Linked DNA regions of Mus musculus: regions 1, 2, 3, 4, 5 and 7 are each reported to be linked to region 6. Evidence: microRNA targets listed by miRTarBase, many of them from high-throughput screens and not tested one by one. Region 6 holds a microRNA gene; each other region holds the end of a gene's coding sequence. Distances are between the middles of the regions.
What was found. Region 6 holds the annotated microRNA mmu-miR-3473c (UCUCUCCAGCCCCCAUAAUAAG, at 2,580-2,601, opposite strand). A microRNA usually pairs through its seed, bases 2 to 8, with sites in the 3' UTR of a target mRNA and lowers its output. Matches are read on the target gene's strand: a 7mer-m8 pairs with bases 2 to 8, a 7mer-A1 pairs with bases 2 to 7 and ends in A, and an 8mer does both.

Region 1: the mRNA of Slamf8 is a reported target of mmu-miR-3473c. Seed matches in the 3' UTR shown: 8mer at 2,935-2,942.
Region 2: the mRNA of Cnr2 is a reported target of mmu-miR-3473c. Seed matches in the 3' UTR shown: 7mer-m8 at 3,492-3,498 and 8mer at 1,351-1,358.
Region 3: the mRNA of Dcaf12l2 is a reported target of mmu-miR-3473c. Seed matches in the 3' UTR shown: 7mer-A1 at 3,570-3,576.
Region 4: the mRNA of Dqx1 is a reported target of mmu-miR-3473c. Seed matches in the 3' UTR shown: 8mer at 3,189-3,196.
Region 5: miRTarBase lists Riok2 as a target of mmu-miR-3473c. Seed matches in the 3' UTR shown: 7mer-A1 at 1,434-1,440.
Region 7: the mRNA of Nol11 is a reported target of mmu-miR-3473c. Seed matches in the 3' UTR shown: 8mer at 617-624.

Annotation. Positions count from the first base shown.
Region 1 is chr1:172,578,612-172,582,726 of GRCm38, forward strand. Slamf8 (SLAM family member 8) reads right to left here. Exons shown (of 5, transcript NM_029084.3): 5 at 2,766-3,894. The coding sequence ends at 3,833. Among named protein-coding and RNA genes, the nearest start is that of Slamf8, 9.9 kb to the right of the region's middle.
Region 2 is chr4:135,917,271-135,921,385 of GRCm38, reverse strand. Cnr2 (cannabinoid receptor 2 (macrophage)) reads right to left here. Exons shown (of 2, transcript NM_009924.4): 2 at 1,167-4,115. The coding sequence ends at 3,730. Fuca1 (fucosidase, alpha-L- 1, tissue) reads right to left here and starts at 660. Exons shown (of 8, transcript NM_024243.4): 1 at 236-660. The coding sequence starts at 582.
Region 3 is chrX:44,362,841-44,366,955 of GRCm38, forward strand. Dcaf12l2 (DDB1 and CUL4 associated factor 12-like 2) reads right to left here. Exons shown (of 1, transcript NM_175539.3): 1 at 2,617-4,115. The coding sequence ends at 3,761. Among named protein-coding and RNA genes, the nearest start is that of Dcaf12l2, 3.4 kb to the right of the region's middle.
Region 4 is chr6:83,065,941-83,070,055 of GRCm38, reverse strand. Dqx1 (DEAQ RNA-dependent ATPase) reads right to left here. Exons shown (of 12, transcript NM_033606.3): 11 at 3,776-3,966; 12 at 2,837-3,623. The coding sequence ends at 3,464. It overlaps Tlx2 (T cell leukemia, homeobox 2), which reads left to right. Exons shown (of 3, transcript NM_009392.2): 1 at 1-376; 2 at 765-1,002; 3 at 1,082-1,731. The coding sequence ends at 1,298. Among named protein-coding and RNA genes, the nearest start is that of Tlx2, 2.2 kb to the left of the region's middle.
Region 5 is chr17:17,392,869-17,396,983 of GRCm38, forward strand. Riok2 (RIO kinase 2) reads left to right here. Exons shown (of 10, transcript NM_025934.2): 10 at 587-2,031. The coding sequence ends at 751. It overlaps Gm26873 (a long non-coding RNA gene), which reads right to left and starts at 3,825. Exons shown (of 2, transcript XR_003952270.1): 1 at 2,215-3,825; 2 at 981-1,321.
Region 6 is chr1:191,996,023-192,000,137 of GRCm38, forward strand. It overlaps Mir3473c (microRNA 3473c), which reads right to left and starts at 2,612; the gene lies at 2,532-2,612. Traf5 (TNF receptor-associated factor 5) reads right to left here. Exons shown (of 14, transcript NM_011633.2): 13 at 3,776-3,946; 14 at 1,181-1,985. The coding sequence ends at 1,408.
Region 7 is chr11:107,163,623-107,167,726 of GRCm38, reverse strand. Nol11 (nucleolar protein 11) reads left to right here. Exons shown (of 18, transcript NM_133702.3): 18 at 86-1,076. The coding sequence ends at 202. Gm11715 (predicted gene 11715) reads right to left here. Exons shown (of 3, transcript NR_169178.1): 2 at 2,566-2,706; 3 at 602-1,013. Among named protein-coding and RNA genes, the nearest start is that of Gm11715, 8.3 kb to the right of the region's middle.

The DNA.
Region 1 (4,115 bases), 19 Mb from region 6:
TTAATTTCAGATAAAACACCACCAGTTTTCTTTAGTCATTTCTCGTGCCATAAGGGCTTCCAGGCTTCTCACCATTCTGGCCATTCTCTTCTGGGTGTGCGAAGTTTATTGTGTCTCCTTAAAAGTATAGATTCTAGAATGGGAGATAGCCATGCAGTAGAATATCCCCACTACCCACTCATATGCTCAGCATGCCACTCCTGGCGACTGACTATCACCAACACATAGCCCAAAGGAGAGACAGACACTGAAACTTTCACAGACCTGGGGAGGTTGTATTCTGAAATTTTGTAGGCTCCTCTATCAGGCTGCAGGCAGAACAGAAACAGAGAGCCAGAGGGTCAAGTCTGGAAAGGGACGGTTGTCTCCCCGAGAGATCAGTAAGTAACCAAGAGGGGCCTGTTCCAAGCAGGCACTATGTTATAAATATGGAAGAAAGGCTTGCTGGAGATGTCGCTGATAATTGCCCCAGCTCCCCTCAAAGCACTGAGTATTTATATCCATAAAGGAAATGAAGCTCTCTTTAAACAGATTCCTACAGGGCCTCACTCTGTAGCCCGGGTTTGCTTGGTACTCTCTAGGTAACCTAGGCTGGTCTTAAAGTCACAGCAGTTCTCCTGCTTCAGCCTCTCGAGCACTATGATTATAGGTGTAAGCCACCACGCTCAGCTGTATTCTAACCTTCTGTCACGTGACCTCTTGGTCTTAGCCCATCTTGCATTCATCCTTTCTAGAAAGGAAAATGCTATTACTGAAGACAAAGAACATGAGAGCGAGGAAGAGAAAGAACAGTCTGGAAAGGCTTCTGGCCTGCTCATGTGCATACTGAAAAATCCCCCAGAGAGACTGACTTCTTGACTTGCCAGGGCCCCCTCTGCCACCCAAAGTCCAAGGAGAGGAGGCTCTTCTTCTGTAGACCATGGGATCCTCCCCTGTTTGCATACAGCCATGTGGTCTCTATTGGCTGTGTGCTCCCACTTAAGGGCTCTGCAAGCTTGGCTAGGTGCTGGCGGAGCACTCTGTGCCAGTGCATGAGTCCTCCCCAACAAATGAGTACTCCCCAATACACCAGTCCCTAGCCTTTTACTCACTCCTTCTTCCTTCTCCCTTCCTTCATCCCTTCTCTCCTTCCATTCTTTTCTTTTTCCTTCTTTCCTTCTCTCCTTCTCTCCTTCCTTCCTTCCTTCCTTCCTTCCTTCCTTCCTTCCTTCCTTCCTTCCTTCCTTCCTTCCTTCCTTCCTTCCCTCCTTCCTTTTTTTTTTTTTTTGTTCCAGGGACTGAACCCAGAGCCAGGAAACACTCTACCACTGAGCCATTTCCCCCAGCACCTCTCTTCCCCTAACCCCCTTTTTTGAGACAAGTTTCTGACTAAGCCAGCCGGGCTAGCCTTGAACTTCTGCAGTCCAAGCAGGCCTTGAATTACCATCCTCCCATCTCAGCCTCCCAAGTAGCTGGGTTTCTAAGCTGGTACCACAAAGCTAGCCTGCCTGATTTTTGAAACAGAACCTGTCAGCATCTAGCATGGACTTATCAGCTTATTTATATGCCATTGAGCATAGACTCCGTGTAGGCAAAGGCTTTGCTTCATCCAAAACTGACTCCTTAGTGCCTTAAGGAGTTCCCAGCAGACGCTGCACCCGCAGTTCATACTTGGGATGGTGTAACTTTTAAAGCATCTTTCCCAATGCCTCTTAGAATAAGACTGGTCTCCCAGATGTACTTTGTGTTTTCCAGAGGAAGGGTAATAAGTCTGCTAGTTGACAAGTGAGTCATTGCGGTGTTTGTTTGAATAGCATGGGACCTGTTCCAGGAGGCCCTGGTAAAACCCACTGCAATACCACCGTCTTCAAGAGTCACCTCATGAAGAGGAGAACTGTGCTCTGATCCGAGGTGAGGCTGTGGGGATAGAGGGAGGGGAAGTGGGTGATAGCAAGCATTTTATCACCCCAGAACGACCATGGCCCACCACTCCATCCTTTTCACACGATGGTGGTTTTCCATGATTTGGTGAGAAAATGCCTATAGGTGGCAGGGAAGGGCAGCACAAATGGCTGGGTGGACTGGGCATGTGCATGCCACAGGAGGATGTTGGGAAGGGGATAGAAGAAAAGTGAGCATGGGATAGAGTAAGAATTATGTAAAGCCAGGGACCTCTGAGAAAAGCCAGCAAGGAGAATCCTGGGTAAGTAGAGAGGAGGTGTGTAATGTGAACATACAAGCCAGTGGATTCCATTTGTCCCAGGTGAAGTGACTACCTGTCTTGGCATTGGGGAGAAGAGGAAAAGTACCAGGGCAGGGTTGACTTCCTGGGTGGAGAGACTAAGCCACCTACGAAACATATTCACAACTACCCCTGCTTCTTCAAAGCCTCCTTTCTATTACAAAGGTCTGGATGGGGACCCAGGACAAAACCCATTACATTTGGATGGGAGTAAGCATGAACCTACTACTCCCTGAGGGAAAGTTCAACTCATTTAGGTTGTTTTGTTTTGTTTTGTTTTGTTTTTTTCCATGTAGCAGTAAACAGCCTAGATGCTTTCAGGACAAAACCATTCAGTACAGGACACATCTTCCAATGTGGCCATATATTCTCTATGGTATATGTCAAAGTGACCTTTGATGATACTACAATTGAGTGGTAGGGACTTTGTCTCTCCCCTTGGATATGGGTGGATTATCTCCGCTTGCATCTGAATAAATATAGCAGATTCTAAAATGTCTCAGTATTCATCCTCTCTATAGTTCCTCCCGTGTAGCTTTTTTTTAAAAAAAGGTTTATTTATTTTCTGTATATGAGTACACTGTAGCTGTCCTCAGTCACATCAGAAGAGGGCATTGAATCCCATTACAGATGGTTGTGAGCCACCATGTGGTTGCTGGGAGTTGAACTCAGGACCTCTGGAGGAGCGGTCAGTGCTCTGAACTGCTAAGCCATCTCTCCAGTCCCTTGTGTAGCTTTTTATGGCTCTTCATTCTCCCAGTTTTAGGAAGACAGACTTATTCTGAACTTAGCTGTTTCTCTTGAAGTTGTGGAAGAATTTCCTACTGGCTGGGTCAAACTCTTTGTTTTTGTTTTTTCTGACAACTATGTAGAATGTATGGAAAAAGCTTGAAACACCACCCCAGATATGCAGGAGACACAAGAATTAATGGCAACAAAGGTGTCTATTAATATAGTGCTACCAGAAAAATGGCTTTGATCCCAACATGGCACATTAGCTACCAACCCCTCATCATCTGTAATCTCAATTTACTTTTGATGGCCCTTGAACTCAGATAATCTTAAAGTCCTTCAGACCAGAAAGAGAATGCCCCACCCTCCATCATTTCCTGTTCTTTGCCTTTTCTTATAATAACATCTTGAACACAAGGAACTCAGACCCCAGGGGCTGGAGTTGGAGTTGGCAATGGTTAGCTCAATTTCCATGTTAGTTCAAACATCTCATCTCTCTTTGAGCCAAGGTCCTGGCCTGGAGGCCGTCCCTTGGTGGCTGTTGGGCAAGACCTTATGTACAGTGATAGAAGAATGGATGCCTTGGATAATCAATGTCTCTGTGGATCCTAGAGAAAGTCCTGTGTTCTGAAGGAAGCATCCTACTAGTTCACCTTGCCCAGAGAGGATCCGGCATGTGCGAACAGGATGGAGGAAGGAGGAAGTTTGGGCCAGGGTGACGTTCCAGGATGGTGGTTTTCTTGGCTGTCCGCTAGAGGCAGGCCGACTTGTGGCAGTTATGAGGATCCTGGAGGTGTCCAGGTGTGGAGCATCACGTGGCTGAGCAGGGCATCTCATCATGGTCCAAGCACCAGTTTATGTTGTCCCTCATGACATCCTCTATACGAGGGCATTCTCTGTCTCTGGAAGCACCCCGTCAGTGCAAGCATCCTTCTTCTTCCCTGATGAGGAGATCAGAGAATTAGCCCTTCAGCGTTTAGAGTCTTGGCACACCTGGCACCCAGCCTGAAGCCTCTGAACACTGAATGTCCTGAGCCCAATCACCCCTTCTTATGTCCTAAAACCCTGGAAGAGGAGATGTTTGTTAAGAACAGGACCTTCTTCTTAGTGTGTGCACGGCATCTGCATCCATGCCATGAGTTAGCGCCACGATGTGCCTTGT
Region 2 (4,115 bases), not on the chromosome of region 6:
ACCGATGTAGCCTGATTCTAGTCTCTCTCCGCACAGGTGTACCACCCAGTGCTTTCCCGCCTTAATTTTATTTTATTTTATTTTATTTATTTATTTTTTTAACTGATCCTCAGCTGGATTCTCGTCTTTAGCGTCCTTCCTCCGAGATGCAGAACGTAGGGTCCTGGACCTTCCGAGGTCAGGCAGCGCCGGCTATGGCCTGCCTGCTCCCGCCTCGCGCCCGTCCCGCACTCACTTGGCCCCGGCAGCCTGAAAGAGTTCGGCCCACTGATCCGGGTGGAAGAAGCGCGCTGTGAACTGCGGTGCGAAGTCGGCGTAGCTGAAGCCGGGCGGGTAGTTTTCTGTCATGAAGCGCTGGTAGGCCGGCATCCGATCGCCCTGCCAGTGCCACCAGAACCATTCACTGCCCCAGGCGGGCACCGAGAACACCCCCCAGTGCACGAACACCCCGAACTTGGCCTCATCGAACCAGCTCGGCAGTGGCCGCGAGTCCAAGCTCTGCCAGTCCGGAGTGAAGCGGCGCGGAGCCAGGGCCACTGCCTGGGCCGCAGCCACTAGCAGCAGCAGCAGCAGCAGCAGCATCCCAGAGTCCACAGCCCACCACTCAAGTTCAGCTCCTACATCCTTGCTTCCGGGCCCGCACCGCCCCCCTCTTAACACGCAAGCGCCGGCGAGTAGCCCCGCCTCTCAGAGTAACGATTGGCTTGGAAGGAGAGGGGGTGGGGTCAGGCTTGCGGCTCTGGAGCGCCCTCTGGCATTGGAAGGGAGAAAGACTTAAGGCGGCGTTGCTGGTTCTGCTCTATTGAATTTAAATTCCGTAGACTCGCCTAAGGATTTAATTGCCGGATTCCCCGCAAGTGAGAAAGACCCAAGGTGTGGGGAAAACTGGGAGAAGTCCACGTTGTTGCACCAATCTTCAGGGGAAGGCTGAAGCCAGGTCGTTTTATTTAGTGACTATTTAGGAGCCGCGGGTTCTCTGTGCTATACCTCCAGCCAGCAGGTGGAGTTTAGCAGATTGGAGAGTTGCCGAAGAGATTGAGAAATAACAAGGTTAGAAGGAGCTTTATGCGGAGGGAGAGAAATGGCTGCTGAAAGATTAAGGGCAGACGTGGTTATTTTAGTCTATCTTTTGTCCGTTGAACTTAACAAGAACTCCGAGGAACTTAAACATTTTTTTAAAAAAAGATTTATTTACTTATTTTATGTATATGAGTACACCATCGCTCTCTTCAAACATACCAGAAGAGGGCATCAGATTCCATTACAGATGGTTGTGAGCCACCATGTGGTTGCTGGGAATTGAACTCAGGACCTCTGGAAAAGCAGTCTGTGCTCTTAACCACTAAGCCATCTCTCCAGCCCTAGACATTTTAATTTAATTTAGAATTGTAACTTAAATTTATTTTGAGGTAAGGGGGTCTCAACTAGCTCAGGCTGGCTTCGAACTTACAGCTACAGTAACTTTGCATTCCTGATCTTCCTGCTTGTACCTCAGGAGTGCTGGGATTACAGGTAGGGGATGGCACTGCCATTCCTGGTTTTAGGTAGTACTGACCTTTGAACCCAGAGATTTGCTCTTGCAGATGCAGCACTCTACTGACTGAGCTACACCTCAAAAACTTTGAGGGTCTCTCAGAGAGCTTAGTTAGCATCTAACTGAAGAAAACCTGACTCAGGAGTACAACACTTGCTTGGTACACCGGAAGGCCGGAGCTTCAGTCTGGCACCGCTAAACAAGCATGCCTGACCCACACACAGGGGACCACTGAGGCATGAGGGACCAGAAAAATTGAGAGCCAAGAGAACCCTCTTGCCCTGGGAAAATCTCTAAAACTCATATGGCCAGTCACCCAATTCCTCTACAGTCAGCACACGCCCAATGGTATATGGTGTGTGCCCATAACTTCAGGAAGTATGGGAGCCAGAAGTCACATGGTCCATATGGCACAAAGGTCTCCATGGTTGCAGAGATAACCACAGCATGTTAGAGCAATGAGAGGTTTTAATGGCCCTGGAGAGCATTGTTTTCCCCACCATTCCCAATTTACCGAGAAGGAAACCAAAGCAAGGTAAAGGGCGGGGGTTGATCAAGACCACATAAGTGTGGACCAAAGCTGGTGCAGGAATTCACAGCTGTGGAAACTGTATTCCCTCCTCCTCTGTCAGGCACCTTGGAGAGATCGGCTTATGTTGACAGAACCAAGCACTTCCTCCTTTGAGGAGTAATAAGGAAACACCGTGTCTTTTCTGTCTCTTCCTCCCCCAAGTTGATGTTGAAATACAGTCTAAATCACTAAGCGTGGGCGAATCGACTTCTTCCCCTGATCCTCCCAAACAGCGATTAGAATTTGCAGCAGCTTTTGATGCACAGAACTTGTCTTGGGAAGAATAAAATGAGACGCCGTTGACCTTCACAGAGAAAACAAACTGTCACCTTGCAGAAGCTTAGGAGAGGCTGTAGAGCCGAGTGGACCTCCTTGCTTTATTAGGGAGGCTGATTTTTCTTTGCACTGGACACCACCCTGTTAGTTCCTTTGGGCAATGGGGAAGTCCTGTCTGCGGGCCGGATCTTCTAAAAGCAAAAGTATTAAATGTTTAAGAGTTTTCCTTTCACTGTGTCTGTGGTCCCCAGTGCCACCTACCCCTCCTACCACCAGCAGCGCCTTGAACCTCCATCTGTTGGGACTGCAACCTTTACTGAAGGGCAAAGGCAGGCACCCAGAGACACAGCGTGGGGCTGTGGACCTAGGATGCCTGGTTTGCAGCAGGAAGTCTTCCCTCCCAACTCCTTCTGCTTATCCTTCAGGACCAGAGTGTGGAAGAGGCCAGTGGGGCTGAGTCAAGCATCACTGGGAACAGCCTAGGACCCAAAGAATCTGTGTGAATATCTTGCTTTGTACTGAAGCTAGGCAAGACTGGGATAGTGCTGTGTGAGACACAGCAAAATGTCACAAGGAATAGAGTTCTCTGAAGACTTTGTACCTCCAGTGAACCCAGCTTCCTCTGCGCCCCTAAGGACCTAAGGTCATAATGGCTTTCAAGGCTTATCAGGATGTCGGGAGGGCCCTTTCCCAACAACAGGATACCCTGAGCTGACAGCTCCTGACGCTGTCTGAAGGATGTAAGCGAACATCCTTGGTCCTTAGGGCATCATAATTCTTGACCCCCAAGAGGCAAGGGTGACCTGAAGGTAGAGCCTCACATAGCTCTACAGCCACAGAGGATGAAGCAGGAACCAGAAGCAGCTGGTCTCTCTATCTTCAGCAGGACAGTCTAGAATCCACACTATGGAAGACATGGACATCTATGAAGTTGAGGGCAGTGGCCCCACGGCTGGGGTACTCTAGATTCCAGGAGAACAGGTCCCTTGTCTTCACAGATCTCCTGAATCCTTTAGTATCATCTCTGGAGGCCCCTCTGGCCTCTAGGTCTTTGGAGTCAGAAGGCTTTCCTGATTTGATATGAACAGAGCCTGCCATTCTTACAGGCCCCTCTCCACAGACTGGAAAAGGTAGGCATGACCAGGCCACCTTCCAGCCAACCAGCATTCCTTAGCAAAAAGGGGGATCTGTTTCCATTACCCTAGAACTGGCTTCAGAAAGAATCCGGGTCTGGAACCCCTCTCTCTTCGAGGGAGTGAACTGAACGGACTTCTGACTCGGGCTGTTTCCAGTAGAAAGACAGGTGGTGTCAGCAGTTGGAGCAGCCTGGAGTTCTGGATCCTGGCTCCTAGGTGGTTTTCACATCAGCCTCTGTTTCTGTAACCGAGGACCTTGGGCCTTCTTCTTTCCCCTCAGGTCCGAGGCCCTGTAGATACTTCTTCCAGCCTATCAGGCAGTGCTGGGCAGCAGAGCGAATCTCTCCACTCCGCAGGGCGTAAATGATAGGATTGACCATAGAGTTAACAAGGCACAGCATGGAACAGAAGGCGAAGGCCTCCTTGACCTGGTCACTCAGCGTGGTGACCAGGCTGTGGCCCATGAGAGCCAGTGCAGGGAACCAGCATATGAGCAGCACAGCCAGCACCAGGCCCAGAGTCTTGGCCAACCTCACGTCTAGCCGCATCCGAGCTATCCCAGGCACCTGCCTGTCCTGGTGCTCAGCCAAGGTGGCTA
Region 3 (4,115 bases), not on the chromosome of region 6:
CATTATGAGAGAGAGCCTAACTAGCCAAGTGAACATATACACTTTATTATTGGTGCCTGATTTTTAAAAAGCCAGACCTGCTTTCAATGTGGAAGTATAGAGTTGAACATTTGAATTGAATTGTCTGTGAATGCTGGCTGCTATCACCAAGGTCTTACAACTGTATCTTAGGTTTGTGTTCATATTTCTGTTTTATCTGTCAGAGATACTCTCTAATTTCTGGTTATTAGTACACTGTCAGAATTTTGGTATGATAATTGCCTTCTTAATTATTATAGTGCTAACATGGACTTTTCCAATATAAACACTTTTAATTAACATCCTTAAAAATAGACACCAGAAATTTTATCACAAAAGATATAATGGAGTTTAGAACTGATAATTAAAAATTAAACTCCATCTCTCTCTCTCTTTATATATATATATATATATATACATACATATATATATATATATAATTATAGTAACTTTCTAATACCTTCTACTCCTTTAACTTTTTCCTTTGGACTTCATCGTCTTATCCATATAACCTTAAAATATCTCATTTGTAAATATTAATCATGCCCCTTTTCCGGACCAATCTTTCAGCTTTCCAGAGTTAAAAACACTTACATTAGAGACTAACTTTATTTTTAAGTGGTAACATTTCCTTTTAATGTGCTGATAGATTATATTTAATGTTTTTCATCATAAATAAAGTTATAATTTTATTTTATTTTTAAGGAAAATAGTAATTCTGAGGAAATAACCATTTTAATAATAGCTCATTTATTCTTATAGCTATGAAAAATGGCAGTCTTGTGGCACTGATGTTTGAAATGAATATAGATTAATCATGTGAATGTGTGCAAAACAAGGCAAAGGGTAGGGTAGCACAGCATGTGGAGACCAAAGCAGGTGGTGAGGTAATGATCCAACTGGGAAGCTGCTATGGTTTTTATGTTTTTAGAGATGATGGTGTGGTGAGTATTAAGTATAATAGTCAATGATATTATTAGTTGGCTGAGAAATACGAAAGTTGAATTCCTGTTTTGAGATCTAAGTCAATTTTACATTCTTCAAGACGATAAGGTATCAGCTCTGGACCAGTCTGAGCCATTCAAAGAGATATGGAATAGTATCTAGGGAGTTTAACTAGGAGGCAGACTCTCCTTTAAAACTGTGAGCAAGACACAAAATTATCATACAGCTATTGAAAAAAAATATCTTTTTGAAGTCATGATGGATGTCATAACATTTTTGTGAAACAGGGCACTTACATTTTTCTTACATACCTTCCATCCCAATTCCTTTCTAACATCCTTCCTATATACTTGTGTTGTTTTTCTCCAAAAATAATAAATTACCAGCATTTCACAGTAATCTCTGCCTAACACTGAGAAATCACATCTTATCCTGTTAGTCACTTCTTCACTGGATGTATTATCCTAATATATTTCTCAAATTCAATATTCTTAGCTTACTCTGTCAGCTTTCACTTGTATCTTCTATGCTAATTCCTCTACATTTACTTGTTGCCACAAATTTTGTGTCCATTTTTAGTTTTTTCACCTCCAAATCGTTCTTGGAGTCCATTCAATACCATATGACTCATTTTAAATAACTGAAATCATGATATCATAGACAAGGAAACTGAAATAATTACAGGTACTCTTGTGTAACTCAATTCCATGTATGCATTGTGAAGCTTTTATTTGTCTGATAGTATTTTTATTGCTTCCCCTTAATTCCTCATGTTCTAAATCATTGTTTTAGAAGGTAGGTTTTACAATAACTACAAATCTCATGAAGTTAGCCATATTCTCCCTGAAAGTATCAAGAACTGATGAATACAATAATTTGATGATAAAACGTGGAAAATGTTCAGGTAGACCTCCATAGGTAAATTATCATCAAAAGGTGATTTACCCCAAAAATTTAATTTCAGGAAATTCATTGTACATATCCTTTGATGAGTGAAATTATATATACAGCTAAATACTTATCATATCAATAATGCTTATTTAAAATTAAAACATTCCAACCACATAATGGCATAATATACAATAAAAACAAATTAGTTATAGATGTATGATTTTTTTAACAAAATTGTAGACATATTTGAGTTCATTCTATCATTTATATGTAAATCACATATACACAGGTATCCTTAGGTATGCATAAAATCTAAGTGGTACATACACATACAAAGTATCCTTGTGGTAAACTATGGCCAGAGGCCAGGAATCCAGAAGTTTTTAAAAACATGGTCCATGTGTATGTTTGTGTGTCTCATTTTGTCTGTCATACGTGCTCAGTGGTCTGCATGGGCCTGATGAGGGTAATAGATCTCCTGAAGCTGGAGTTAAAGCAGTTATGTACTTTCAGATATGGATGCTACTTACAGAACTCAGCAACCCAGGAAGAACATGATAGAACAAGCTCTTAAGTCTGAACTATTTATTATCTCTATGTCTAGTATCATTTATCTTTTAATCTATAAATGTTCCTTTAAAAAAAAAAAGCAAATGTGCAAAATGAAGTGTGCATAGATGAAGCCAAGGTTCCTCTCCTGGAAAATTTTGATTTGGATACATACCTTTGTAGAAGGACAAGTAAATATAAAATCACATTTAATCATTTTAAACTTAATTTAATTATTATGATGCTGAACACATTTTTATTTTTTTTTATTTTTTTTACAATACATCACATACTAAAAAGTGATCCACATAAAATAACTATATATGTACCCAATACAAGTATCAACTGCACTCACTCTGACCATTGCAAATGGCTAATTGGACTGTGTTTCTTGAATGTTCAGGAAATGTTAATTCCCCAAATACCTTTCCAATTATCCTGAAAATTTATGTCAGATTTCATTAGCGCTGAACATCTTTAACATAAATGGTTCTCAGGAAAGCAGGTCACAATACAGTACTTTAAAAAAGAAGGCTTTAGGGCTAAGTGTGGTTATGCTCATGTTTTCTGAATTAAAATTTTGTTGATTAGTAGTTTGAACAATATTGTATAATTCCAAAAATAAAATAATACATCTTAAACCATTTTATACTCCCACAATGTTCAAATCCACTACTGAGTTTTCCTACATTCAAATGAAAGACACTCCAAACAGTTATAATCTAAAACTTGAAGTACATTAAAAAAAAAAAAAAGAAAGAAAGAAAGAAACTTTGATTAGAGCTTTAAATATTTTCTGAGATCAGGCCAACAAACATTTTAAAACATCTTCTATCAAGATGGTATGTCCATGGACTATTCAAATGACTTGAAAAAAATTATTGGAACGCTGGTAAAACTCTAGTGCTGAATTCACTGAAAGCAATGACTACATTCGCCTAAAGAAAGAAAATACATAAATCACTGCAAAAAAAAAAAGATTAAAACTTTTTTGTATGATACAGCAAAAATGTAGTGCTCTGAGAGAAAGTGCCCAAGTCAAAGCAAGTTTTTATTGCTAAGAGGATATAGAAATCTCTCTCTCTCTCTCTCTCTCTCTCTCTCTCTCTCTCTGTCTCTATCTCTGTCTCTCTCTGTCTCTTCCTTCTGTTCCTCTTCCTCCTCTCTCTCTCCTTTTTCGTTTCCTTCTGTGATTGAGCACTAGAAAGTTGGGTCAACTCCACTTTGAAAATAAATCACTCACACACACACACAATCAGGCATGCACATACCTATATTACACAAAAGCACATATGCAAAGAATGTAAGTTTGAACTTAAAAGATAAATCTATACACTTTCCCAAGAGCACAGTGACTTTAGCTCCAGAGGCCTGCATAGTTGCCATGGAGGCCTGAAGGGAGTGGGCCTCCACCCACAAAGAGCTTCATCTCAGGCCAGTTGTAGCAGTGAGTGTAGAGTGCGTTGGGGAATTCCTCAGTACCTCCAAAGTAGTTTACCCAGAGTTCATCTTGGTTGAGCCAGCCTCTGCCACACGTGAGTTTGAGCTTCCTCCCTGTGCGCCCAAGAAAAGAGTCTGGACTGGCTGAGGCCCTTTCCTCTAGGAACTTCTGGGCACGAATGTCATAGAAGAGCAGAGAGCCATGTCCAGTGCCCACAGTGATGATGTGCTGGTAGAAACTCAGAGAACGCACACCTGTGCCTCCCTCTCGG
Region 4 (4,115 bases), not on the chromosome of region 6:
CACCACCTTCCGCACCACGAACCCATCAGCTTCGGCATCGATCAGATCCTGAGCGGTCCCGAACCCCCGGGGGGCGGTCTGGGTCCCGGTCAGTCGGGCCAGAGCCACGGAGAAAGTGCGGCGTTTTCCAGTGGATTCCACGGAGCCTCGGGCTATGCTCCAGCCGGCTCGCTGGCCTCCTTGCCTAGAGGCTCGGGAGTGGGCCCCGGCGGCGTGATCCGCGTCCCCGCGCACCGCCCGCTGCCCGTGCCGCCACCCTCGGGTGCGGCCCCCGCCGTGCCCGGACCCTCTGGTTTGGGTGGCGCCGGGGGCCTAGCGGGACTCACCTTCCCCTGGATGGACAGCGGCCGCCGCTTTGCAAAGGACAGGCTCACGGGTGAGATTGCCCTACCCCTCGGTGTCCTTCCCCCGCGACCCCATTTCTTTGCTTCTCCATTTTCTGCTCCAACCCCATTGCCCGGTTATCTCTCCCCTCTGTTCATCCGCGTGGACCCTCCCCGACCCCACAGTTCTCGGTCCCACAGCAGAGAGGCAGTAAGGAGAGAGCTGCTGTCGTCGGGTGCATGCACCCCTGCCTCTGCAGTCCCACCGTGCCTACGGCGAGGAGGGGCAGGGTGAAGTTTGGGAGGACCCCGATTCTTCCTAAGCCCTTTCTTGATGAGGCTTCTGTGGTTGGGGGAGGAACCCCGATAAGGACTAGGGACTCTCTTCTCAGTCTCACCTCGGACTACCCCCAAACATTGCCCTGCTCTTCCGTCCCGTAGCTGCGCTCTCGCCCTTCTCTGGGACACGTCGCATAGGCCATCCCTACCAAAACCGGACCCCCCCGAAGCGCAAGAAGCCGCGCACCTCCTTTTCCCGCTCGCAGGTGCTGGAGCTGGAGCGCCGCTTCTTGCGCCAGAAGTACCTGGCCTCCGCAGAGAGGGCGGCGCTGGCCAAGGCCCTGCGCATGACGGACGCGCAGGTCAAGACCTGGTTCCAGAACCGACGCACCAAGTGGCGGTGAGGCGCGGGGCGCGGGCGGGCCGAGTGGCGGGGTAGGACCGGGACGCCCGCTGACCCCGGCTCTCCGCTCGCCCAGGCGCCAGACCGCGGAGGAGCGCGAGGCCGAGCGGCACCGCGCTGGTCGCCTGCTGCTGCACCTGCAGCAAGACGCGCTGCCCCGGCCGCTGCGGCCACCGCTGCCACCGGACCCGCTTTGCCTGCACAACTCGTCGCTCTTCGCGCTGCAGAATCTGCAGCCCTGGGCGGAAGACAACAAGGTGGCTTCGGTGTCCGGGCTCGCCTCGGTGGTGTGACCGACACCTGCCCGACGAGCGCCAACGTGGCCGGGTGCCGTACCGCCAGCGAAGAGTGAGGAGCAGAAGGCCCGCGGCCCGCGGCCGTCCTCTGAGGCTCTTTGGTCATCAGTGGCCCCTGGCCCACACTCTGACTCCGCCCTTCAAGGTTTTGTTTTGTTTTGTTTAAAAAAAAAAACCCCGCTGAGATGTGGGTTGCAAGAGCAACCTGCAGGATTGTGGATGAAGCAGGGACCCTGCAAGGCTGCGACTTTGCCCTGAGTGGGCTCAGAGCTCAGGTCCTGCTGGGAAGGGACCACAGAGCTGGTGTAAAGGCAGATATCAAAGGACAGCGGGGGAGGGGTAATGGAAGAGGCGCTGGCAGTAGAGAATGTGGCCTACTGTGACAGGGACCTCGTCCCTCATCTGTAAAACAATAACTAAGGATTCCTTCTAGCCTCAGTCTCCAGTTGTCTCCTGCCCAATCTGCGGACTCTCCATCTTGAGTTTTAACGCACTTATGCTATAGGTAAGATAGATTCTTATATACCCAGAAGATACACTCTAGAAAGAGAACCTGACTCCCGTGCCATGCAGGGTCAGAGAGCCAAGATGGGGAGCCGGTGGAGAATTCATGGGCCCAGTGTTAGAGTGAGCAAGAGACATGCTTTGGGACTAGCAAACCTAAGAAGAACCAAAGATGACCTTAAGACTGGAGATGTGTAGGCCAGGAAGGGGAAACTGGGGGCAAGATTAACAGTAGGCAAAACTAATGTTAGATTTAGAGAGAGAGAAAAAAATGCTAATGCCTGCCTTTGGGGGAATCTCCATGACATCACAGGGGGTGGAGACAGATGAAATTTTGGGTCTAAGATCTCCTGGTAAAGGCGGGAAGGCACAGGGAACTCTGGGGAGTTACATGGATTGAGCCTTTCTTTCCACAGTATTCTACAAACACATTTATGATGTGCAGGATGGTGGTGGATTCAGAAATTCGAGTAGACTAAGGGCAGAAGGGAAAGAGTTAGGGAGAAGTGAAGGATGGCGGCTTTAAGTTGGAATGTTCTTAGGAGATGGCACTTGCAGTAATCCTGACAATCTGAGTTTGAGCCCTAGGGGCAAGTTTGTGGAAGAAAACTGATTTCTACAAACTATCCTCTGACCACTGCACATGTGTTGTGGGTGTACACACACACACACAAACTATAATGAAAAATTAGAGAGACTGCAGACTGTAGGTGAGTCAGAGGGCGCAGGCTTTTGGTTAAGTGGAGGATGGTTACAAAGCTCTCTGGCTTAACAGGGAGATTTCGCCTCACTCCACTGTCCCCCTCTTGTTCCTGGCAGAGGCTAGAACACTGTGACGGGACACAGACCTGTGGTAGCCAGGTCACGGATGCTCTGTGCTAGGGACAGATATAGCAGCACAGAGGCTTGGGCGGAGGCAGGCAGGAGGCTGCACCTGCAGAAGTCGGCCTTTCCTTTTGTGTCACCTCTGACTCATGGATGTTGTATATGGCACTACAGAACTAAAAATCAAACTTGGCATCATAGAAAAATCATTTTTTAAAAAAAAGATTTATTTAGATGGGCATGGTGGCACATGCCTTTAATCCCAGCACTTGGGAGGCAGAGGCAGGTGAATTTCTGAGTTCGAGGCTAACCTGGTCTACAGAGTGAGTTCCAGGACAGCCAGGGCTACACAGAGAAACCCTGTCTCGTAAAACCAAAAAAAAAAAAAAAAAAAAAAAAGATTTATTTATTTAATGTATATGAGCACACTGTAGCTGACACACCAGAAGAGGGTACTGGATCCAATTACAGATGGTCATGAGCCACCATGTGGTTGCTGGGAATTGAACTCATGACCTCTGGAAGAGCAGTCAGTGAGTGCTCTTAACCCCTGAGCCATCTCTCCACCCCCCACCAAAGTCTTTTATAGTCTCACCAAGGAGACAAGGTTGTGTGAGGCGCCGCATGGGTGGGGTGAGTGGCATCTGCTCCCATGTCCATGGACAGAGAAGAAAAGTATGCTTGTTCTGAACTGTGGCGCTCTCTTCCCCCACTCCTAACAGTTCTTGGCTCTTGGGTTCCAGGAGTATATCTGACCCTACACTTTGGGTCTCTAAGTCTGACTGCCTTGGCGCTCTCTGATGAGGTTTGGCTCCATTCCTTAGGCAGTTAGCTCACTGCAGAACACAGCCATCTCCATACTCCTGGGGAGAGGAAGTTTCAGTCGCTGCTGCTGGTGGCTCTGCTGTTCCTTCTCTCAGCTGGTTCAAGAGGTCTCTGCTCTCACTGGGGGGCAAGTTACTCAGGAAGTATGGAGGGGCGAGCTCCACCAGCCTGACAGAGAAAGTCAGGATGGGATCATCTGTGCCTTCCCCTGCCCCTCACTCCCCGCCCTGCTTCCACCAACCCTCTTCCTACATCTCACTCCCCAGTTTGGTTCCTGGCCCTGGGAGAAGAAGGGCCCTGTATGAGTGAGGGAAACTCACATCTCAGGCTGGATCTCAGAGACAATGCAAAGGCAGTTGTCTTTCGAGATGGAGAAGCTGTGGTACAGCACCCACGTGGGTGGCTGGGCTGGAGTCCTGCGGTTTCGGTAGCTGCAGTATGGAGACAGCTGGGCTACGTGTTTATGGGTGAGAAGCAGATAATTTCCTGTCCCATCTGTGTCTCGGGCCACCTCATTGAAACACAAAAACATGGGTGGAATAAGTAAAATAAGCAATGGAGCACAGAAAATAAAGAAGGCCAAGGTTGGGCGTGGCAGGAATCCCAGCATCTGGGAGCCAGAGGAGCAGAAGTTAGAGGCCAGCCTGAGGTATTTAGAGA
Region 5 (4,115 bases), not on the chromosome of region 6:
TTGTGGTTGTTAACTATGAGACAGTGCTCTGCATCTGCATACTCTGTGAGGACTTCCTATGCGTGACTGCCGCCCCCAGGCCTCTTCTCTGTCCCAAGCACCACAGGGCTGGCTACGTAATTCCAGCCTTTGGAAGGGCAGGCAGGGGCTAGAAGATCGAGGCCATCTGACTACGGTCCAGTTTAAGGCCAGCCAGGGCACCCAGGCTACAGGAGAGTTTACCTCAGGGAGGGAGGGAGCGAGCAAATAATTACAAAATCATGTGTTTTACCAAGACGGGTTTTTCCCCCCAACTCATTGTTCATAATGGTCACTAGGTGGCACTCTAGCAGTTGATAATTTAAACTGACCACTTTTGCTGTATAATCTGTATTTCTGGGAAGAATATAAATTTTAAAAACTTTCAACAGCTTCTCCTGTTTTATCTACTAGTTCATATAGTGTCCTTAGGATTCTTAAAATTCATCTTTAACATGTAAATTTGAAAGATACTACCAGTGTAAATCTTGGATAATAATTTGATAATGATTTCTCTGCTCCTTATCAAGATGGTTGTCAGTGATACTAATTCACAAGATCTTTGCAGGAACTGGTGAAGCAGAAGGTGAAGCGTCAGCTGACAAGGCAGCAGAAGGCGGCTGCCAGACGCCGGCTGCAGAAAGGAGAAGCCAATGTGTTTACCAAGCAGCGGAGGGAAAACATGCAGAATATTAAATCGAGTTTGGAAGCAGCCAGCTTTTGGGGAGACTAATAGATTTCTGATATGTATTATTTTTTTAGATGCTATAATTTTATTTTTAGCCAGTATATTGGTCTTTTTTGGACCAAAGCCAGTAAATTATGGAAATAAAGCCTCTTTAGACTCAGAGCTTCCAAGGTCTGATTAATAGTAAATCTGCCAAGCACTCTGTTTCTTAAAATTTTTCAGGTAACTAATTTAAATATAAAATAACGTGTGAAAAAAACTTCATTGGCAGTAATTGCAAAACATGGACATCATTTTTATTTCACTGTGATGTTCAGACTCTGCCTTAAACAGGTAGAAAAATGACTTGCCTCAGATTCTGGATTTACATGTAATAAATAATAGAACAACTTAATGCAATCTGTAGTTCTCTCTTTTCTCCTTCAGTCGGTCACACTTGGGCTTTTACTACATTGGTGAGTTGGCTTTAGGATCACCTGAGACAGTCAGTACACAGTTATTTGACCATTGGAGTGAAACTGATCGTCTTCTGTTTCTTTAGACTTCTGGAGTGGAGATGAATCAGTAATGGGTAGACGAGCAGCAGCGGGTCTTTTGGTGCCGTTCTCATTGGCCCTGTGGTCGTGGGAAAAGGAAGTTTAGGTTCCTACCAGTATTTTTGCAGTTGTCAGCTTTCCCCAGGTTTCAGCAGAAGTGGGGGGAGGGAGGGAGGGAGGGAGGGAGGGAGGGAGAGAGAGAGAGAGAGAGAGAGAGAGAGAGAGAGAGAGAGAGAGAGAGAGAATGCATGACTCCAGGATGTGTTCCTACCTCAGTGTTAACAAGTCTCTAGAACAACACTCTGGTGTGATTCATCCCTCAAGCGCATTCTAATTCAGTCAGTGGAAGTGAGTGTAAGTATACAAGCACTGTCCCTTCAGCTTCCCTGAGCAGATCTCGAATAGAAGATCGTCTTCAGCAAGAAGTGACCACCAGATGGCAGTGTTTGCCAGCAGTGACATGATAAAAACACCAGCTTCCCTTTTACCTTAGCAAAATTCATTCTGACTATTTGTAACTGATCACTATCTAAGCGCATTTAAATGTTTGGATATATGAATATGTCAAGTGCAGTTTCTTTGAAAATTAGACTGATTTTTGGAAGTGTTGATATAGCCCTGTTTTAAAATGTAGTTTAAGCTCAGATACTCATTTTTTATACTCTGCTAAAAGTGTTTCTATAACATAAACTGATGTTGAAGATAGTTTAATAAGACCACAGAATGTTTATTTTGTAATACGTTTTTCTTATGTCCAAAGCAGATTGGGAATAAAAGTGTTTGACCTCATTTTTCTTGGCTTTACTTCACTACTGCTACATAAGAAGCTTGTTTCTATTTGATTTATATGGTTTGTGATAGTGTCTATCAGAGTTGTGAAGACTAGATGGAAGAGGATTTGTGAAAAGGACTGGACACGTAACACAGTGGTAGAGTGTATTTTCATTTACTTTTGTATCACAAAACCCTTACCAGAGCCGGGGTGGTGGTGCCTTCCTTTAATTCCAAGCACTCAGGAAGCAGCCTGGTCTACACACTTTGAGGACAGCCAGAGCTATGTAGAAAGACCCTGTCTGGTAAGTAAATAAAAACATAGCCAGGCATGGTGGCAATCAGCAGGTAGATTGGAGTTTGAGGTCATCCTGGTCTGGAGAGTGAGTTCCAGGAGAGCCAAGATTACACAAACCCTGTCTCCAAAAAAACAAAACAAAACAAACAAACAAACAAAAAAACGCAAAGAAAGATTAATGTACTTTCAAATATGGTGTGGATTTATTAGGCTAAAATTACTAATATACCCCTTAAAGCTACTAAAGAAAATTAACTAGACTAACCATCTTTTCTATTTCATTAAACGCAAGCTGTGATCCTTTCTAGTATTATGATTTACACTGGGTTAGCATGGTTGAAGCCCAAGGTCAGTGTCCACCCAAACCAAAACATCTCTGTGAGAAGCTTTGCTTTCCACTTTCTTTAATAGTTGACTTCGTTCCCATTAAACAAGCTTTTTTCTATGCAACATGTAACTTATATTTGTGCTAACCTGGTATTGGTAGCCACTGATCTATTCAACATGCAGCTGGCTTTGAACTCCAGAACCATAGAATATTTAGAGGGTATTAATCATAGGGTGAGTGCAACTTAAAATAACTATTCTTTTTCGTCGCGTACTTGGTAAAATTTCTGACAAATAGCTACCCAATTAATATCTCTGCTGCTATCTCCAAGTTTAGCAGCCACCTCCAGGATAGGCAGAAGCCCATTATCCATGTCCTCTGTACCTCAGAATGTAGAGCATTAAGCTACATCTTAATTTGCCATTGGTTTGCAATATGTAATATTGTCTTAGCACAACTGAATTAACACCGTTGGAGGTTAAAAGTCAGTATCTAGCCAGGCGTGGTGGCGCACGCCTTTAATCCCAGCACTTGGGAGGCAGAGGCAGGCAGATTTCTGAGTTCGAGGCCAGCCTGGTCTACAGAGTGAGTTCCAGGACAGCCCGGGCTACACAGAGAAACCCTGTCTCGAAAAAACCAAAAAAAAAAAAAAAAAGTATCTAGAGGACCTCAGAGCTGTGTGATAACCAGGAGTATGGGGATAGTTCCAAAGCCCAGGAACTTAAAAAACTAGCGTCCTTAAGTCTTTTACCTCAATATTGTAAAGTATAGATAGTAATACCATTAAAACATGTTAAATTGTTTAAAATTAGACAGAGGAAGGAGTTGGTTCGTAGGTTAAAATGCTAGCTGTTCAAGCATGAGGACCTAAATGTCAATCCTTAGCACCCTTGTATAGGAGAAGGCAAGCACTGTTGCGTGTCTGTGAATCAGTGCTGCCGTGCTGAGGATTCAGAAGGAGGTAAGTCTCTGGTTCAGGCGGGCCAGCCAGGTTAGCCAAAACAGCAAGCTTCCATTTCACCAAGAGGAGCTCTCAGTAAGGTGAAAGGCAACAAAGGAAGACAGTGTTGACCTTTAGCTTACAACACACACACACACACACACACACACACACACACATTACATAACAAATTAGTATCAATGCACTTTCTTAAGTATACATCATAATACAAATTTGTTGCTTGACATGAGTATCATAATATATGCCTCCCCCCCCTTTTTTTAATAAAAGAAAGTGACTATTTAAACACTACTATAATTCTATGTAACCTCGATTAAGAGGTAAAAAAAATTATGTTATTCCTAGATCTGTTTTCCAAAACCTTGGTAGTGTAAAGCTACCAGGGGAAAGTACATGGGTTTTTAAGATAATAATTTGTAGTTGGCACATCATCTCAGACAAATTATGAGTAAGCTGACCAACCTTAGGAGAAAAAGCCTGGTACCAAACTGATGCAGATGAACAACGAGTGCAAG
Region 6 (4,115 bases):
CTTACACAGGTTAAGCGCCATCTACAAGAGCATAGCCTCCCCTGTGCCTCTAACGTGACCCTTGTCCCAGGACACTTGTCCTTCCGTGCTTAGGAGCCAATGTTACATGAGCAGTGGAGGATGGCACGGATCCCATTTTCAGTCAGGGCAGGAGGGCAGATCAGTCTGAGGCTTACTGAGCTGAAGGGACAGACAGACCCAAAAGACCAGCGGGTCTCAACCTTCCCAAGGCTGTGACCCTTTAACGCAGCCCCTCATGTTGTGGTGACCCCTAACCATAAGATAATTTTTGTTGCTACTTCATAACTGTAATTCTGCTACTGTTATGAATGGTAATGCAAATATCTGTGATTTCTGATGGTCTCAGGCAACCCCCGAGAAAGGATCATTTGACCCCCAAAGGGGTCGTAACTCACAGGTTGAGAACCACTGCAAAGACAGATCTACAAGAACCCGGTCATTTCTGCTCTCAGAGCACTCAAAATGTTGACAGGAAACTCCGCAAGTTTCTACAAATGCTCATTTTTTGGTCAGCATATGAATTTAAAAGTTCTTCCAGAAGAACAGAAGGGTTCAGACAGCTGCTATCCATGGTGAACAGGTTCCCCTTTTGTCCTTTTCTCATATTTTTCTCTGTCATAACAAATTTGCTCATCCTCACACCCACTGCCATGCAAAGGTCACCTGGCTGAGTTGTGTGAACTGGTATAGTTGACAATTTTACCTAAGAAAATACTTCTCACCTGGTCAAACCTAATGAACTCTGAACTTTCGGTTCACTAAACATCCACTCCTTGGCACCCATTGTGTTAGTGGAGAAGGACGAAGAGCCGACCCATTTCCTAGCTGTTATACAACTTGGCAAACTGTGCTTACATGCAGCTAGTGGATCCTGTATAAAACACAAAAGGGCGATGCGATTTCCAAGCGGTTGGCATCTCCCTGAAGATCTGTGGTCCAAATGCAGCATATGTAGCTACACTGCCCACACTTGACTGGCACAGCCTGCCTGTCTCTTACAAGATGGCTGCTGCAGGCCTAGGCTCAGGTGTGGAAGCACTGAGTCAGCTGATAAATGACAACGAGTGTCAGTGGGAATTCTGCCCCTGTATCAGTCCCGTTGAGCACTGGACTCCCTGAAAACACTTCCCAGACTTCAGTGAGAGAGAGGAGCCCCAGGCCTTGTTGTCAAATTATTATAATTTTTTGGAAGATACAAAAATATAAATAACAGCAATATTTCAAGAGTTTAAAGTTTCAAACCAGGGAAGGATCCAAGATAAAAAGATGACACATCAGACATCGGAGGCAGGAAGACAAGAACAAGAGCCTGCTCAGTCCAGAGGGCTGCGCCCAAGGGACAGCCACACCTTTTCCTGTGCTGAGAAGTTTCCTTATCAGGTAACACTACAGATCCTCCAAGTCAGTTAAATCCACGGCCACTTTCAAGAACAGTGTGTCGTCTTTAATGTAGGTGTTCTTGGAGTTCTCCAGAGTAGAGTGCGACACAAAGCGGGGACAGCCAGAGGCAATGTTCATCTCGCCATCTGGCCTTTTGAAGCTGCTGCTGTTGGGGTCAGCTTTGAAGGTCTCCACAATATGGTTCTTCTTGCCGCTCTGGTCCAAAAGCATCAGGGTCACCCTCTGCCTGAACGGCCACTGCAGCAGCGAGTCAAACTCACCGCGCATCACCACAAAGTACAGGGACAGGTGCGTTCCCTTCCCCGACCCGTCCCCGTTCAGGTACGCCCTGGCACAGAGCCGGTAGCCGCAGCGGCTGGTGTAGAAAGGCTGGCTGAAGACGGACACTGTGTGCCCCTCCACGGCCTCCCTCTTCTTCACCCTGTAATCTGTCACCTTCCAGATGAGCTTGCCACTGTAGCAGGCGCCCTCCAGCTGCTTAAACCGCTCTTCGTTCTTATTCAGCTGTGCTTTGTGGATATTAATGTGTGCGTCGTGCTTGCTGGTCTCCCCCTCTAAAAGAACTGGAAGGAAACACAGGACAGGAGGCTGCAGCTCGGGCCTGTCATCTGAGCACTACCTGTGAACTACTACATGCATTGCTAACATTAACTCAATCGTGGTAAGCTGACGCCAAGCAGACATGGATGTATCCTCCCTCTTCACTCTCAGCTTGCCTGAGTATAAGACACATTGGACATTCACCTCGAGTGAATTCTCATGCTGAGCCTTGTGCCCGTCTAACTGTGTGTGTTTGTGTGTGTGTGCATGCATGCACACGAGTGTGCTTGTGATGTAAGTGTCTGTGCATACTTGCATGTGTTTGGCTGTGAGGTGCTTGTGGCATACAGAGGCCAGAGGTTGATACTGAGTGTCTTCCCCAGTAGTATTTCAGTCTTTTGATGTAGTTCTCTCACTGAATTAAACCCTGATATTCTGGCTAGCTTGTCCTGGAGATCCTGTGTCAGCCTCCAGAGTGCTAGGACCACAGGTAGCCCTCCAGTCCACTCAGCAATCACATGGCTACAAGGATCCAAATTCTAGGTCATGTGTGCAGCAAGTGTGTTATCTACTGAGCCATCTCCCCAACTCCTATAATGAATTTTACATTTAAAAGACTTATTATGGGGGCTGGAGAGATGGCTCAGCAGTTAAGAGCACTGACTGCTCTTCTAGAGGCCCTGAGTTCAAATCCCAGGAACCACATGGTGGCTCACAACCATCTGTAATCAGATCTGATTCCCTCTTCTGGTGTGTCTGAAGAGAGCAACAGTGTACTCACATACATAAAACAAATAAATAAATATCTTTATAAAGTCTTATTATTATTGTTATTGTTGTTACTGTTGGTGGTGCGTGCGTGCGTGCGTGCGTGCGTGCGTGCGTGTGTGTGTGTGTGTGTGTGTGTGTGTAAGTGAAGGCATGTACACCATAGTATACATGTGAAGGTCATAGAACAACTTTCAATAGTTGGTTCTTTCTCTCCACTGTGTGGGTTCCAGAGATCAAACTCTGGGTGTTATAGTTTCAATGAGTTGTGTGTCCTAAGTCCTAAGCATTGGAATACTTGGTCCCCAGTTGGTGGGTTGTTTGGGGAGGATTAGGAGGTGTGGTCTTATTGGAGGAGGTGTGGTCTTGTTGGAGGTGTGGTCTTGTTGGAGGAGGTGTGGTCTTGCTGGAGGAGGTGTGGTCTTGTTGGAGGAGGTGTGGTCTTGTTGGAGGAAGTGTGGTCTAGTTGGAGGAGGTGTGGTCTTGTTGGAGGAGGTGTGTCACTGGGCTTGGGGTTTCAGCAGCTGCTCCAGTGCCATGCCTGCCTGCCTGCTGTTTCTCTATGAGATGGTGGTAAATTCTTATTTCTCTGCAATCATAAGCCCAAATAACACTTCCTCCTACAAGTTACCTTGGTCATGGTGCTTTGTCACAGCAACAGAGAAGCCACTGATACACTGGTCATCTCGATTGCATAGCAAATCACCTGCTAAGCAATCTCACTGGCCCCAGTGCACCAAAGCCTAAGACACCCATCACCTCTCTCCCTTGTTCTTAATGATTACCACTCCCAGCTCTTGGGACTGCCTGGGCCATTTCAGTCTCGTCTGACTCCACACACATGGTGGAGACCCTCATTTTCTGAGGCAGCTAGAATCTCATGCTGCTTCACAAACAGGATTCAGCCACTGGGCAACCCAGAAAGCTGGTTGTGACTTGTTAGCTTCTACCACAAATGCACACAGACAGGGAAGCCATGAGAGGGAACCCGACTGCTTCATACACACACACACACACACACACACACACACACACACACACGTACCTAATCTCTGGTCACTGGCTTCCAGCTGGGTGATCCTCTGTTTCACGCTGTCAACCGCATCCACCAAAGACCTCAGATCAAGTCGACTTGGCTGCTGGTTAACTATTTGTAGCAGCTGCCGCACCTGCGCTTCCAGCCAAGCTGACTTGTCCGTGTGACTGGTGAGAGCCTTGCGGTACAAAAAAGAGAATATGTCTTGGAAACGAGACATCGGATTTGTAGCGTGTTGACTGAATTTTAACACAAACATTTCACATAGAATGATCCACTCATGAAATGGAAGTGGCAGTGTCCAGAGAGGGGGTTCAGTGGACATGGCAGAGTCAGCAGCTGCCATCTT
Region 7 (4,104 bases), not on the chromosome of region 6:
TTTTGGAAAAACCACTAGTAGTGATTGGAAGGTGTGATGTATGTGGAGTTCCAGCACAGTTACTCTGGGTCCTTGTCGTCTTCAGATCTCCATCTATTCCGAGCTCAACAAGATCGCAGTCAGCTTCCGGGAGCTGCAGAGATTAAATCGGGAGAAGAGCAGTAGAGGACTGTACTCCATCGAAGTGCTGGAACTCTTCTGACAGTCTTGCTGGCTGTTCTGAACTGGATATATGGACCAGGCTGGCCGCGAACTCAGAGATCCACCTCCCAAAGTGCTGGGAGTAAAGGTGTGGCCACCACACCTAACTTGATGGATATATATTTTTTTTAATATGAATCTTCCTGTTCGTCCAGGGAAGAAAGATTTGTTAGTACCCATCTCACTCAGTGTCCAGAGAGAAATATGAGTCCCTGGACCATCACAGACCATCACTCCTTAGTGTGCTGCGGGTTCCACAGAATCACTTCTAGGTTGCAGACATCACTGGAGGGATGTTGTGAAAGTTTTTTTAAACATGAAATTGAGCTGATTTTAAGTAAACGTATTTGTGTCTAATTTTTTACAATGCATTTTGAATAGTTTTTCTTTCAATCAAAGAAGCAAAACCAGGGGCTGGAGAGATGGCTCAGCAATTAAGAGCACTGACTGCTCTTTCAGAGTTCCTGAGTTCAATTCCTGCCAACCACATGGTGGCTTACAACCATCTGTAATGTTATCTGATGCCCTCTTCTGGTGTGTCTGGAGATAGTGACAGTGTACTCACATATATGAAATAAATCTTTTTTTGAAAAAATGAAGAAGCTGCAAAACATCTCTGATGAGTGGATCTAAGGAGAATGTATATCAGTCTGAAGCTGTTCCCAGTCATCTGTATCATGGAGCACTCAGGGCACCAAGCCAGCATACTGCATTGTGCCTACTGCCATTTCTTCATCTTTCATCTTCTACCATCTCTTCTCCTTTCTCGGGAGTTGAGAAATTCCCTGTTCCAGCGTGGTGTCTCAGATGAACTGTGACAAGGATATGGTAAAGATTGGTTTAAATTATAAAATCTTATTACCAAATAATGAAAATGTCTCTCTTTTTAAAAAAAAAGTATTGAGGCCAGTGAGCGAGTTCAGTGGATAAATATGTGCAAGCTCTATAAGCCTGTTGTCTTAGAGAGTTGATCCCTGGAGTCCATGTGAAGTGGGAAGGAGAGGGCCAGTTTCCCAAGAGTTGTTCTCTGCCATCCACAAACACTACCCACACCTTCAATCCCAGCACTCAGGAATAATAGCAGACTAATCTCTCTGTGTTCAAGATCAACCTCATCTGCTTAGTGAGTTCCAGGGCAGCAAGAGCTACATAGTGAGGCCCTGTCTCAAACCCTCCCCCCAAAAAAGTAAACAAAAGTATTAGAAAATCTTTCTAGGGACTGGAGAGATGTCTCAGTGTTTAAGAGCACTTCCAGAGGTCCTGAGTTCAATTCCCAGCATCCATTTGGTGGATCACAACCATCTGTAATGGATTCTGATGCCTTCTTCTGGTGTGCAAATGTACATGGAGGCAAAATACCCATATACATAAATAAATAAATAAATCATTTTTTAAAAGAAGAAAAGCCAAGCGGTGGTGGTACATATCTTTAATCCCAGCACTTAGGCCAGGCTTGGTGGCACAAGCCTTTAATCTCAGGACTTGGGAGGCAGAGTCAGGTGGATTTCTAAATTCAAGGCCAGCCTGGTCTACAAAGTAAAACCCTGTCTCAAAAAAACAAAAAGAAGAAAAAAGAAAATCAAAATTTTTTTTGGTTTTTCCAGACAGGGTTTTTCTGTATAGCCTTGGCTGTCCTGGAACTCACTTTGTAGACCAGGCTAGCCTCGCACTCAGAAATCTGCCTGCCTCTGCCTCCCAAGTGCTGGGATTAAAGGGGTGTGCCACCACTGCTCGGCTGAAAATCAGAAAATCTTTATAGGCTGATTGACAATAGACAAACGTTTTGGGTTTGTTTGTTCACTGTAACCCTGGCTGTCCAGGAACTCAAAATAACACTAGACTGGCTGCCAAGCAGTGGTAACACACCTTTAATCCCAGCACTTGGGAGGCAGAGGCAGGTGGATTTCTGAGTTCAAGGCCAGCCTGGTCTACAGAGTGAGTTCCAGGACAGCCAGGGCTACATGAAGACATCCCATCTCAAAAAGCAAAAAAAAAAAAAAAGGCGGGGGGGGGGGGGGCTGGTGAGATAGCTCAATGGGTAAGAGCACTGGCTGCTCTTCTGAAGGTCCTGAGTTCGAATCCCAGCAACCACATGGTGGCTCACAACCACCTGTAGTGAGATCTGACGCCCTCTTCTGGTGTGTCTGAAGTCAGCTACAGTGAACTTATGTATAATAATAAATGAAGCTTTGGGCTGGAGCAAGCAGGGACTGAGCGAGCTGAGTTGACCAGAGTGAGCGGAGGTCCTAAAATTCAATCCCCTACAACCACATGAAGGCTCACAACCATCTGTACAGCTACAGTGTACTCACATACATAGAATCAATCAATAAATAATTAAAAATAGCTTTGCCATGTGCTCACCTCTGATTCTATGCCATGCACAAGTTGTCCTTACTCCATGTGTAATTGGTTGTGAAGCACCTGACAGGATTGCTGGGAGCCAACCCTGGGGCCTCTGAGAGCACTTCTTGCTCTTCACCACCAAGCTACCTCCAGCCGAGTCTGTAAATCATATAAGCCAGAAAATAAGATAAGCAAATGCAATTCCCTGTAAATGGTTTATAGATTCATATTTGTTTTTTTATAACTTGTGGTTTAGTTGTACTTGAGCATGGCTTCTGTCATGAATATTAACTTGTCAAGAGTCACAGAAGCCAGGCATGGTGGCACACACTAATCCCACCATTTCAAAGTTAGAGGCAGGAGGGCTAGGTCATCCTGGGCCAACCTGGTTTACTTGTTCTCAAAGTAAAAGGAGAAACTGGAACTCTGATCCATGTAGGGTCGGAGCTGCCTTATTCCGCTGAGTACTAACTGAGCCCACCCACATCAGGTGAAAGAGAGAGACCCTGCCTGTTCAGAAGAGAGCACCTGCAAAGTCAGAATTCCCATGGCTATCTCTGAAGCCAGTGTTCTTAGTGACATTGGTACTTGGGCACAGCTGAAGGAGAACTCTAGAGTGCAGCCTGACTGAATCAGCAAGCTTTCCAAAGGATACTGGGCTCTGATGTGAGACTGCCAGGGTTTCACTTGCTAATTAATCGGTGTCTCCAGATAGCCTAGACTGACCTCAAACTTGAAATCCTCCTGCAATAATGTCCAAGGTGCTGGGATTACAGATGTCCACCACCATGCCTGGCTTGCCTGTCAGCCTTAAGAAGTCTTAGGGCTGGGGACGTGGCTCAGTGGTACACTTTGCATGAGACCCCAAGTGTACATACACCCCAACACCACAAAAATCAAATAAATAGAAACATGTTGCTCTGCTTTTCCTCTGTCCATCTCAAGTCTATGCTGACAGTCACAAGGCATCAGTCAGTGGATTTAGAGTGATAATTCTAAAAATACTGTTAGAAATACAGAAGAGCCAGGCAGTGGTGGCACACGCCTTTAATTCCAGTACTTGGGAAGCAGAGGCAGGCAGATTTCTGCGTTCGAGGCCAGCCTGGTCTACAGAGTGAGTTCCAGGACAGCCAGGACTACACAGAGAAACCCTGCCCCCCCCCCCCAAAACAACAACAACAACAAAAGAAGAATTGGTGCCAGGCCCAAAGTGGGTAAGGTTTACTCTTCTAGGAGTATTCGAAATACTCCTGGCATGATGGTGCTCTTTTGTAGCCCCAGCACTTGGGAGGGGAGAGAGGAGGCTTAGGAGTTCAAGGCTACATTGAGACCTCAGAGAAGTAAGACAAACCTGTTTACGAAGGGTGTCATTTTAGCTCACAACGCAAGGCCTGGTGTTACAGTGGAGAGGTCAGCAGGAAAGTGATGGGGATGGTCACATGGCATCCACAGTCAGGAAACAGATGAGTGCTGCTGCTCAGGGCATGATCCCACCCACAAGTAAGGTCTTCCAGCATCAGTCAACTTGATTAAGATGACCTCACACAGGCCACCCAG